Lepisosteus oculatus: one gene and its partners. The protein of the gene in region 1 binds, or shares a complex with, the protein of each later gene. Links are inferred from orthologs where the notes say so. Each region holds a gene or a part of one and is shown on either strand. Other genes may lie near its edges. The genes, in order: polr1h, taf1b and polr1f.

What was found.
Region 2: polr1h (region 1) and taf1b share a complex: the UniProt entries of both Homo sapiens proteins name them as parts of the pol I pre-initiation complex. The link is inferred for Lepisosteus oculatus from reciprocal best matches to the Homo sapiens genes POLR1H and TAF1B.
Region 3: polr1h (region 1) and polr1f share a complex: the UniProt entries of both Homo sapiens proteins name them as parts of the RNA polymerase I (Pol I) complex. The link is inferred for Lepisosteus oculatus from reciprocal best matches to the Homo sapiens genes POLR1H and POLR1F.

What each region holds. Positions count from the first base shown.
Region 1 is NC_090709.1:41,007,871-41,011,623, forward strand, and holds the start of polr1h (DNA-directed RNA polymerase I subunit RPA12), read right to left. Parts: upstream 2,545-3,753; 5' UTR 2,435-2,544; coding exon 2,266-2,434; intron 1,514-2,265; coding exon 1,373-1,513; intron 335-1,372; coding exon 231-334; intron 1-230. UniProt on the Homo sapiens protein: Core component of RNA polymerase I (Pol I), a DNA-dependent RNA polymerase which synthesizes ribosomal RNA precursors using the four ribonucleoside triphosphates as substrates. Can mediate Pol I proofreading of the nascent RNA transcript.
Region 2 is NC_090697.1:11,859,628-11,863,380, reverse strand, and holds the start of taf1b (TATA box-binding protein-associated factor RNA polymerase I subunit B), read left to right. Parts: upstream 1-1,126; 5' UTR 1,127-1,215; coding exon 1,216-1,233; intron 1,234-1,819; coding exon 1,820-1,918; intron 1,919-2,255; coding exon 2,256-2,349; intron 2,350-3,401; coding exon 3,402-3,499; intron 3,500-3,753. UniProt on the Homo sapiens protein: Component of RNA polymerase I core factor complex that acts as a GTF2B/TFIIB-like factor and plays a key role in multiple steps during transcription initiation such as pre-initiation complex (PIC) assembly and postpolymerase recruitment events in polymerase I (Pol I) transcription.
Region 3 is NC_090705.1:1,841,269-1,845,021, forward strand, and holds the start of polr1f (DNA-directed RNA polymerase I subunit RPA43), read left to right. Parts: upstream 1-1,367; 5' UTR 1,368-1,415; coding exon 1,416-1,705; intron 1,706-3,562; coding exon 3,563-3,704; intron 3,705-3,753. UniProt on the Homo sapiens protein: Component of RNA polymerase I (Pol I), a DNA-dependent RNA polymerase which synthesizes ribosomal RNA precursors using the four ribonucleoside triphosphates as substrates.

The DNA of each region.
Region 1 (3,753 bases):
AGTGACCCCAGGACAGAGATCAGGGACCAGTGACCCCATCACAGAGGTCAGGGATCAGCCACACCAGGACACAGGTCAGGGGCCAGTGACCAGTGACCCCAGGTCAGAGATCAGGGATCAGTGACCCCAGGACACAGGTCAAGGATCAGCCACACCAGGACACAGGTCAGGGGCCAGTGACCATTGACCCCAGGTCAGAGGTCAGGGACCAGCGACCCCAGGACACTCACCACAGGGCCCTTCAGCTCTCCCTCCTCCTCGGACATCATGGCGGTGCTGCTGGACTCCAGGCTGTTGAAGACGACCGACGAGGTGACCACCTGGTCAGCGAGCTCTGCAGCACAGAGGGGGAGAGAGGGCACTCCTGAGGGACTGAGCCCTGCACACTCCTGGGGCAAATCCCCTCTCACACAGGTGGAGCAGGGGTCAGTGTGCCTGGTCCAGTCAGTCCAGGGGTCTGTGTCCCTGGTCCAGTCAGTCCAGGGGACAGTGTCCCTGGTCCAGTCAGTCCAGGGGTCTGTGACTCTGGTCCAGTCAGTCCAGGGGTCTGTGTCCCTGGTCCAGTCGGTCCAGGGGTCTGTGTCCTCTGGTCCAGTCTGTCCAGGGGTCTGTGTCCCTGGTCCAGTCAGTCCAGGGGACAGTGTCCCTGGTCCAGTCAGTCCAGGGGTCTGTGACTCTGGTCCAGTCAGTCCAGGGGTCAGTGTCCCCGGTCCAGTCAGTCCAGGGGTCAGTCGGTCCAGGGGTCTGTGTCCCTGGTCCAGTCGGTCCAGGGGTCTGTAACTCTGGTCCAGTCAGTCCAGGGGTCTGTGTCCCCGGTCCAGTCAGTCCAGGGGCCTGTGACCTCTGGTCCAGTCAGTCCAGGGGTCTGTGACTCTGGTCCAGTCAGTCCGGGGGTCTGTGACCTCTGGTCCAGTCAGTCCGGGGGTCTGTGACCTCTGGTCCAGTCAGTCCAGGGGTCTGTGACCTCTGGTCCAGTCAGTCCAGGGGTCTGTGTCTCTGGTCCAGTCAGTCCAGGGGTCTGTGTCCCCGGTCCAGTCAGTCCGGGGGTCTGTGTCCCCGGTCCAGTCAGTCCGGGGGTCTGTGACTCTGGTCCAGTCAGTCCGGGGGTCTGTGACCTCTGGTCCAGTCAGTCCAGGGGTCTGTGTCTCTGGTCCAGTCAGTCCAGGGGTCAGTGTCCCCAGTCCAGTCAGTCCAGGGGGTCTGTGACCTCTGGTCCAGTCAGTCCAGGGGTCTGTGACTCTGGTCCAGTCAGTCCAGGGGTCTGGTAAGGTTAGTTGGTGCCAAACAGCGCCACCCACAGGGAAACGCAATCCATCAATCAATCAATCGATCAATCAATCAATCAATCAATCAATTGCTCTGAGCCACTGACCGCTCACGCCGATGTCGTAGCCGCAGCGCCGGCAGCTCACCACGTCCTCCACGCCGGGGACGGGCAGCACGGTGCCGCACTCCGGGCAGAACAGCGGGTCGCCGTGGAAACAGGAGCCGGGCAGGGCGTCTGCTGACATTGCTGCGGAGGGGAACCGATCAATTCGGGGCGACCGGCGCGCACCGCCACGACCCCGTTCTCGAAACCCAGACTAAATTCCACTATCAGAGAACAACCTGGCCTCTTTAAAATTTACAACCAGACTGTGGTCACTGAGCCTGTCCTCTCTGGACAGCTGGGTTTGCCTGTGTCCAGTGTGTGTGTCCAGGCTGTGGTCACTCTGAGCCTGTCCTCTCTGGACAGCCAGGTCTGCCTGTGTCCAGTGTGTGTGTCCAGGCTGTGGTCACTCTGAGCCTGTCCTCTCTGGACAGCCAGGTCTGTCTGTGTCCAGTGTCTGTGTCCAGGCTGTGGTCACTCTGAGCCTGTCCTCTCTGAACAGCCGGGTCTGCCTGTGTCCAGTGTCTGTATCCAGGCTGTGGGCACTGAGCCTGTCCTCTCTGGACAGCCAGGTCTGCCTGTATCCAGTGTCTGTGTCCAGGCTGTGGTCACTCTGAGCCTGTCCTCTCTGAACAGCCAGGTCTGCCTGTGTCCAGTGTGTGTATCCAGGCTGTGGTCACTGAGCCTGTCCTCTCTGGACAGCCAGGTCTGCCTGTGACCAGTGTCTGTGTCCAGGCTGTGGTCACTGATCCTGTAGGTCGTCAGACCCGGTCTCTTACTCGCTATTTGTAGGCGCCGTTCCAACTTGGTCTTTAAGAACAACCATCCGCCGAGTTAAGAGTCCTTGTAACCGTCCCAGATAACGCCTATTCCGCATTATATCAGGGGGTCCCTACCGTGATCGGAGGTCAGTCGCGGGTAGCTGTCGCCCTCACCTCGCTGTTGCGCCGAGACACGTGTCGTCCGCAGAACACAAACACAGTCGAGAGCTCTTCCTGGCTGCGGACTGCTGGGGCGCATGACGTCAGCCCGGCAACGGAAGTGACGTTCAATGCGCGCCGGCATTTAAAAAACACTTTTTGTCTTTGTTTTGTTATTCTATAGTGTCCGTATCTAAGTGCTTTTTATAGTAATACGAACTATATAAGAACATTTATGCATGAATCTATTAATAGTCTGGGTAGAAATCAGAAACAAAATTATCTGAGGCTTCTCCCTCCGTCAATGTTTTTGTATGGTGAAAGCGAAACATTATTTCCATTAAAAACCCGGAAAAACACACCTCACGTCTGTAAAGATGTTCACTGATTGTGTGCTAGGTTATAATCACCTCTGGCCGCGTGCCGTTCTGTGTCTGTGCGTTTTTATTTGTGAACACCCTTTCTGTTTTGTTTGGAAAAAAAAAAACAAATAAAAGGTTGTGAGGGGAAAAAGACGGGAGTCCTGCGCGTAGTGCATCATGGGAAAACGGGAGGGAGGGGGACGGTGGGTCGCGGCGCCGGCGCACCCGAGTGACGTCACCAAACGCCCCGAAGTCGTTGCTGCGAGAGACGGAGAAACCATTCGAAGGTAAACGCGTTTTATTTCACGGTTAAAAACCACCACCCGCCCCCTCCTCTCAACGCGCCGTTTGCGGGTTTTTTTCTCCTCATAAACCGCTTTCTTCCGCCTCTTCTCCGTGCTGGTCGGCGTGACTCCTCTCTCGAAGGGAATTTTTGTTTTTCGCGTGAGGGCGGTTTGCTGGGTGGCGCGACTGGGCCCGTCTTTTTGAAAGAACAAAAAAAAAAACCCGCACTGGGCCATTGTAGTTTTACACACACACACACAAAAAAAACCTCGAACAGACGGGAAAAAATCGGATTTCCTAACGCCCCTACACCCACTCGGGGTGCCCGCGGTCCGGTCCGGTCCGGTCCGGAGACACGGCTTGAGCCCGTCCCGTGAGCTTTCGCGTGTCCGTGGGAGTGGGAGTTGGGGGGGTGATCCCCCGTGTAGCCCCGATCTCGCTCACGTCCGGCGCGGTTTTACATCCGCTAGTTTAAAAAAAAAAAACACGGATCTGGAAATTGTCAGTCGTGCTGCTCGATCGGTCGAAAGGGACCGACGGGCTGGTTGTTGTCGGAGCCCGTTTGTCCCGGGACAAGATGTCCCCTCCACAGCACGGTGAGGTTGGCGGTACTATTGTACAGATCTTCGTGCGTGTGTGACCGCAAAAACACCGCCTTCAGTGGGACTGCTGGATTCAGAGACTGCAGGTCCTGAACGAGTGCGGATCCACGTCTGCATTTAAAAGATCATATGTTCTCGTCTAAATGAGTAACAGGGTGGCGAGACACTCTGTTAAGGTTCCTTGTTCCGCCACGCACAGCTGTGAACACTCCTGT
Region 2 (3,753 bases), on another chromosome or scaffold:
CTATATTTGCACAAGCCTGAGGAACCTTTTCATTATTCATCATTGCTGTCTTTGATACAGTATATGGAGACATCTCCCCTGTCATGAAGCATGAATCCTGTCATTTATCAGAGACGAGGAAATACCTTGTGTCAGATGTTTCAGAATATCATCCCCATTCCCTGCAGTTGTCTAATTCCCAAGGTACCAAACAAAAATGCCAGTTTCCTCACACTGAAAGAGGCCCCATGGCCAAAACGTTGTGTTTCTCTTTTTTTTTTTACATTTCTGCATGGAATGAACCTTTACGTCTTAGTTTACAGCCAGCACATGCTGACACAGCTCCCTACTCAAAGGTCAGCTAACGACTGTGACAGACTGTGTATGTGGAGATTATGGGCCAGTTGTTCATTAGAAGTGGTCTGAAAAGATTAGCGACTCATTTAGTAGTCTAATATCATCATAGCGTTTCTGTTTTCGAACTGAAGCCGTGACCCATTCCCACAACTGATAAAATGTGCAACACGATACGCATGATTTCAGGCAATGGTGTTTTCTATTATCTCAGCTGCTCTTATGCTGTTCAGATGTTGTACGGTAGGTAGATATCTGCAGGTTATTTCCAGGTTAGGATCTCTGCACCACAAATCTCTGCAGTCATTAAAGTACTATACAGGAAAGCTGCCCCAATGGGTTCTAAGGTTTTAATCGGAATCTTAGAATAGAAATACAGCTCATAATTTTCTCCAGCCCTTTAAAACACCATTTTTACACAGATACTACCATTGAATCTGCAACATAACTTTCAGCTAAATTCGCTTAATCCTCTTACTGGCGTTTTTACACTTGCAATCTGAATCACGATAGTGAAGTGAAGGTCATGTGATGGTAGCTAACTGAAAAATCTGATGCTAAACTTAATAAAACGAAATCATCTGAAACTAGGTCGCTACCGCTAAAGATTCATTCGCCTACAAAAACCCTAAAATATTCATATACATTCTTAAACTTAAAAAGATTATCTGACTTTCTCTATATATCATATAGCAAAACGAAACACAGATAAATACACAGCCCCAATCAATAACTAACGTATGTGTGCATTTTGCATACGCCTTGTTACAGACGCTCACGGTTGCAACACGACAGCATTTAAGTGTTACACCGGAAGTACCGCATGTTTGTAGTAGTTACAAACATTGAAGAATGTGGACTGTATATACCTTTTAATACCTCATGGATGATGAACATACTGTAAGTTATTTACTGATTTAAAATGATGTTACGGTACTGACTTTGCTTTTGCGAGGTATAGTCAAGGGCGATTGTACTGCCAAACTGTCTTTGACGTTGTATTATAGCAAGTAAACGTTTTCCACTTAAGCTGATGAAAAAACACTTCAATTGCGTTTGGTCGTATTTTAAATAACGCTTAAAAACTCTCCCAATGCGAAAACGGAGAGAAGAAAAATCTGGTCTATGAGACAGGTCAGACAAACCATGGGTTGATAGCTATTTTCCAATCAAAACCTTCAACCCTTACCGGGGAACCGATTAACGATATGCTAAAATAAAAATAACATTATTTTATATATTGTAGAAAAGAAAAAAAAACGCTTTAAAGAACACTATACAGTTCATTTAACATACATACATGTCTCAAAAAAACAAATCGTAATCTGTTTTTTGGGCAAAATGTACCCATGCTACTGGGGATCACTGGTGATTCCAGGAGTGACATTAAGAAGAGTTTGGTGGAAGCGACACAGAATAAGTGTGCCTGCGTCGCCTTCCTCCGTGTTTCTGTACTGTATGTCTTGTGCGGTGCTGCCTCTTGCAGAAGGACTACCGGGAGCCGTGCCTGGTGTGCTCCGAGGTGGACTGGGGGCTGACGGATGAGGGCAAGTTCTACTGTAGGTCCTGCCAGAACGTCATCGAGGTGAGGCAGACCTGTTAGATTATTAGGAACAAGTAAAGGCTTATTCCCTGCTGAAAAGAGAAGAAAGGAAACAACGTTTCACGCTGGGGAGCCTTCTTCGGGGCGTTGTCTATTTTTTTCTCTTTTCAACATGGAATAAACCTTTACTTGTTACTTTTTGTAAGTTGTATGTTATTTAATGTGTTGTTGCTGCTGCTGCCCTGTGTTTTTTTATGTTTCCTTTCACAGACCCACAGTAAAAAACCTAGACTAGAATCCATATACTATATAGCCCCTTTGTGTCTGACTGTCTATCTCCCAAATGCTTAAATTCTCACAACTGTTCTTGTTGTAACAGAGAACCAAAGAATTGGACCCTGAGGACGTCTTTTGTGGTTCCAGCTCAAGAATCTCCTCTATTTCTCAAAGTCTACGGCAGAAGAAAAAACTAGGTTAGTTAGTCTTTGCTCTTAGGAGAGGTTTGGATGTCAGTTTTGAAGACGTGCTGCGGTTCCAAAGCTCTTTCTCTGGATACTCAATATTTTATTCATTTTGCATCCGGAATTTGAAGTTGTTCTCATATGTGGGTTTTCACCTGAGAGCCGTGACCTGTGTTTATGGGAAGTGATGGATGCTGACTTCACGTACTAGAGTGTTGTCTGCAGCAACTGGGAACCTGCAAAGCTTCATCATGTATCAGTACCGGTTGTGACGGCAGATCTCTCCTTTTTGCTCTGTTAAAATACTATGGGCTGGGTATAGAAAATGACAGTTCAAAATCTAAAAATGGAAAAACAAGCCAGAAAGGAATTTGGCCAGGATGCTGGGGTAAAGCCCCTACTCTTTTCGAGAAACATCCTGGAATTTTTAATGACCAGAGTCAGGACCACGGTTTTACATCTCATCCAAAGGGTGGTACCTGTTCTACCGTATAGTGTCCCCATTACTATATTGGGGCATTAGGACCCACGCAGACCTCAGGGTGAGCGCCCCCTACTGGCCCCACTAACAGCAGCAACCTAAGTTTTCCCAGGAGTCTCCCATCCAGGTACCAACCAGGCTCACACCCGCTGAGCTTCAGTAAATTTTCATTTGTGGGCTGCTGGGCTGCTGCTGCTGTTGCCCTTGAGAGAGAGAGAGAGACTTCACTCAGATTTCTGCTGTGAATCTCCTGCTGTATACACAGGTCTCCAGGCTGTCTCCATTGCAATTGAGAATTTCTTTTCAATCGAGGAGGTAAAATAACCAAATACGTCAAAGGATTTCCATATCTGTGAAAACAAAAGGCTTCTGATTTGCTGAGCTTAATTATTGTGAAATATTGCTAGGTTCGCATGTCATGTTGCAGCTCTTCTGAAGTCATTCTGAGTGGGCAGCTCTGGATGTGGGACTGACCTGAACTGCTTGGCTCTCTACACTTCTCTAATACACTACATCCCCCTTCTTCACTGCTCAATATTTGCAATATTTGTCTCCCCCCCCCCCCCCCGGGCGGTTATTTCAGAGCGAGGCCGGGAATGGATGGTGTGTGAGGCCTTCCAGTTTATCCTGCAGAAGCAAGCCAGCGCTCTCCTGGAGATGGGCGTGGACCCACAGTTCAAGGTACCGGGCTCCACGTCACGGACTGGGGGAGGCTCTGGGCGCGGAGAGCCGCTGGACCTGGGGCGCGAGCAGAGCAGGAAGCCGATGTTCCTCTTTCGTCTGCTCCTACTACAGAGCAGCACCAAAACAGAATCGGAAAGTCTACAGATTCCCGCAAGATAAAGCGCACAGCATTAACAAAGCCAGCATCCTCCCGGCTCATGTCCTTTTTCTGGAATTGGTTTGTTTATTCGTATTGCTTCTGGAGAGGCAGT
Region 3 (3,753 bases), on another chromosome or scaffold:
TCATAACAGAAAATAAGCATATTATCTTCAAAGAAGAAACCCATATCCTCTTCCATGCAATTTTTTTCTTTGATTTTGTACAACAAAAGACTTCTGTTACTGGGGAATTTGAAGAAGCTAATTGCATGTGCCATGTTCTGTAATGCGCTTTGTTTTGTGCTTCTATTACCTTCAGCTGTTTAGAGCAGGATATGAGCTTGGAGACAGGCCCCGCAGGTACAGGCCTCATGTTCCTGCTCTGAGAGTAACAGCCATCTATCTCCTTAATACCTTTGCCTTTGACCAGCATTTACTTTGTTCTCACCTGACCTTTGACCCACTGTGTGGAAACAGACACCTTTTATACAGTACATTAGTATCAATCAATACTGTTCAATAGCCCATCACCTCAGGTGCTGGTAAACTTAATTTTCTTTGAACTGGTTTTTGGGCTCAGTGTTACAAGAGCAGAAATTCAAAAGGCTGGTTGGCACAATCTGTCACGATCCTATCTGGAGGAACGTCCTGTTGAATTGACCATTCAGTTTCTCTCAGTTGATAACTGGTCATTTGTTAACTTAACATTCAGTAATATCACGGTGTCACTGTTCTCATTCCTTACATCAAGAGATATATAACATATAATACAATTTCATAGAGAGAAATAAAAGCAGCTCATAGTGTCCACGGTGCCTTTGATGTTAAGCAAGACTAGATGCAGAAACACCATGAAATCCACATTTTTCAGTGAGTTTTGGGTGGGGACTGTGTTGTGTGTGATGAAAGATGGAAATTTAAAGATTAATCTGTATTTTGCCTGAAACGTATTGCTGAATTAGATTGTTCAATGGGATTATTGAAGTTGTGATATTTGAAATGTTGTCTGCAACCCTTCAGAGAGCGCAGCTGTATAATACTTTATAATTTTGTATAATTTGGTGTTTCCTGACTTGTTCAAATGTTTAACATTTGAGTTTTTAATGCTTGCTTTGTGATGGAATGTTTAAGCACGTAACACGGTTGAAACAATTGGTAAATAAGGGTTATTTCAATATTTTTAAAAGCCTAAAACCCCGAATATATTCTTAAAATACTCTTATAAATTCAAAACCAACATTTCATTTTTCTAACCATTAAGAGGGCTTCTTTACAAGGATTTTCTTTTTTTTTTTTAAACAACGAAAAACCTGGAGCTGTGGCAGGGTTTGTGTTTCCTGTCACTTTTCTGAATTCTCGTTCATCTGCAACATGCAAGAAGAAAACGCAAACCCACCCGACTGAAACGGCACAGCCTCCACCAGGCCAGCAGGTGGGGACATCACTGCAACTGATCATTAAATACTTGCCCCTCATCTCCTCCCCCCCAAAACCCGTGACGTTTGGCACGACACCACGTTGAGAGCTGTGGGGAAAACTACTTTACGGCAGCTGGCAGCATGGCGGCCGCGGAGCAGGACGACTCCGAAAAGGTAAAAAAGATTTTTCCTCCGGTGTCCAGCTCCAGTCCACCGCCTGCGCCAGAAGGTCCGACTTTGGAGCAGAAGCCGGTCGTACAGTGTCTGATTCCGGCCTTTTCCGATGCCTGTAACCTGGTAGACGCGCCTTACTCTTGCCTGGTTGTGGACACTCACCGGAGGCACATCGCTCTTGCCCCGATGTATCTAAGTAAGAAAAGGACGGGAATCCAGGATCAGCTTAACACGGAACTTCTGAAATATTCAGAAAGGTAGGAAACTCTCAGCCTGGGGATGGTCACTATCGGTGATATATCGGTGTGTGGTAGAACGGGTAAGCTGGACGTGAACAGTTACAGCATGGATACATCGAGCATGTGTACTGTATATATAACAAGTATAACTCCCTACATGCATTAACAGTTCACTTTCTGGGTAAATGTGACGGCGGAACATTTGGACTTAAATGAATCTGCAACTTAGGCAGTAGAGCATGGTCTCAGACTCACTTCCTGGAGGGCCTGGTCAGTGCCTTCTGCCTTTAGTGACGTTTGAGCTCTGAATTCAATGCAGTTTGTGTAATTATTTATAATAATAATAGTAATAATAATTGCTTACACTTATATTGTGTTTACACTCGAATTGCTTTACAGGTAATGGGGATCCCCTCCACCACTACCAGTGTGCAGCCCCACCTGGATGATGCGCCAGTCTGCTCCCCACACACCAGCTCTCAGTGGGGAGGAGAGCAGAGTGATGAAGCCAATTCAGAGATGGGGATTATTAGGAGGCCATGATTAGTAAGGGCAAATGGGAAATTTGGCCAGGATGCCGGGTTTACACCCCTACTCTTTTCGAGAAATGCCCTGGGATTTTTCCTGACCACAAAGAGTCAGGACCTTGGTTTTACGTCTCATCTGAAAGAAGGTGCCTGTTTTACAGTATAGTGTCGCCGTCACCTTGATGCAATTTAATTAATTAAAAGCCAGCAGCCATATCACTCTGCAACTCACAACTGGCAGCCCACTGGAGCTCAGCAGGTGTGAGCCTGGTCAGTACCTGGATGAGAGACCTCCTGGGAAAAACTGAGACTGTTGCTGGAAAAGGTGTTAGTGGGGCCAGCAGGGGGCGCTCACCCTGAGATCCATGTTGGTCCTAATGCCCCAGTATAGTGACGGGGACACTATGCTGTAAAAAGGTGCCGTCCTTTGGATGAGATGTAAAACCGAGGTCCTGACTCTCTGTGGTCATTAAAAATCCCAGGGCGTTTCTTGAAAAGAGTAGGGGTGTAACCCCGGCATCCTGGCCAAATTTCCCATTGGCCCTTACCAATCATGGCCTCCTAATAATCCCCATCTATGAACTGGCTTCATCACTCTGCTCTCCTCCTCACTGATATCTGATGTGTGGTGAGCGTTCTGGCGCACAATGGCTGCCGTCACATCATCCAGGTGGGGCTGCACATTGGTGGTGGTTACCTGTAAAGTGCTTTGAGTGGAGTGTCCAGAAAAGCTCTATATAAGTGTAAGCAATTATTATTATTATTAAGTACTCAAACAACCAAGTCACGGACCTCTGTATTGTGGTTTTAAACATGTACCTTCTGATGTAGATATAACTGATCCCAAGAGACATTTTGCTGTGATTTCAATTCATAACAGTTTATAGTGCTTTTTATAATTTATTTCATTGTTCTGTTGTAAGATGTATAACAATAGTAAGATGCAAAGAAACAGGTAATGGGTTTATTCCTTGCTGAAAAGAAAGGAAACGCAACCTTTGTAGCCTACGCATGCTGATGCAGCTACCTGCTTGAAGTAGTAAGATGCTTGTTTTTGTCAGTGGTTTGGCTGGAAATGACTTAAGAACAAAAATAAAAAGACTGGAGTGTTAGCATTGAGCTGTTTGAAGATATTATTGGTACCAAAAACACATGAAGTTAATGAGTGTCAGTGGTTTCCTTCCATCTTTTCCTGAGAGTGCTAAACGTCTGATCACTTAGTGAAATAGTAGGAACACATCTTTTAAACTGCTGCATTCTACTGCTTACTCTTAGAGCCTGGATGGATATTCTGAAGCAGTGTCTCTTTACAGCAATGTTGTGCATCTGTGTTTTGTGTTCCTTCTAGTTTAAAAGGTGTTCCTCTCGCCTATGACAACATTAAAGTTGTGGGAGAACATGGACATATCTATGATGATCAAGGATATATCCATATGAACATAGAAGCGTCCTTCGTTATCTTCCAGCCTAAAAAAGGACAAAAACTTGTGGTACGTATGTCCGCTGACTGCCAGCAGAAATACCAATTAGTGTGAGTCA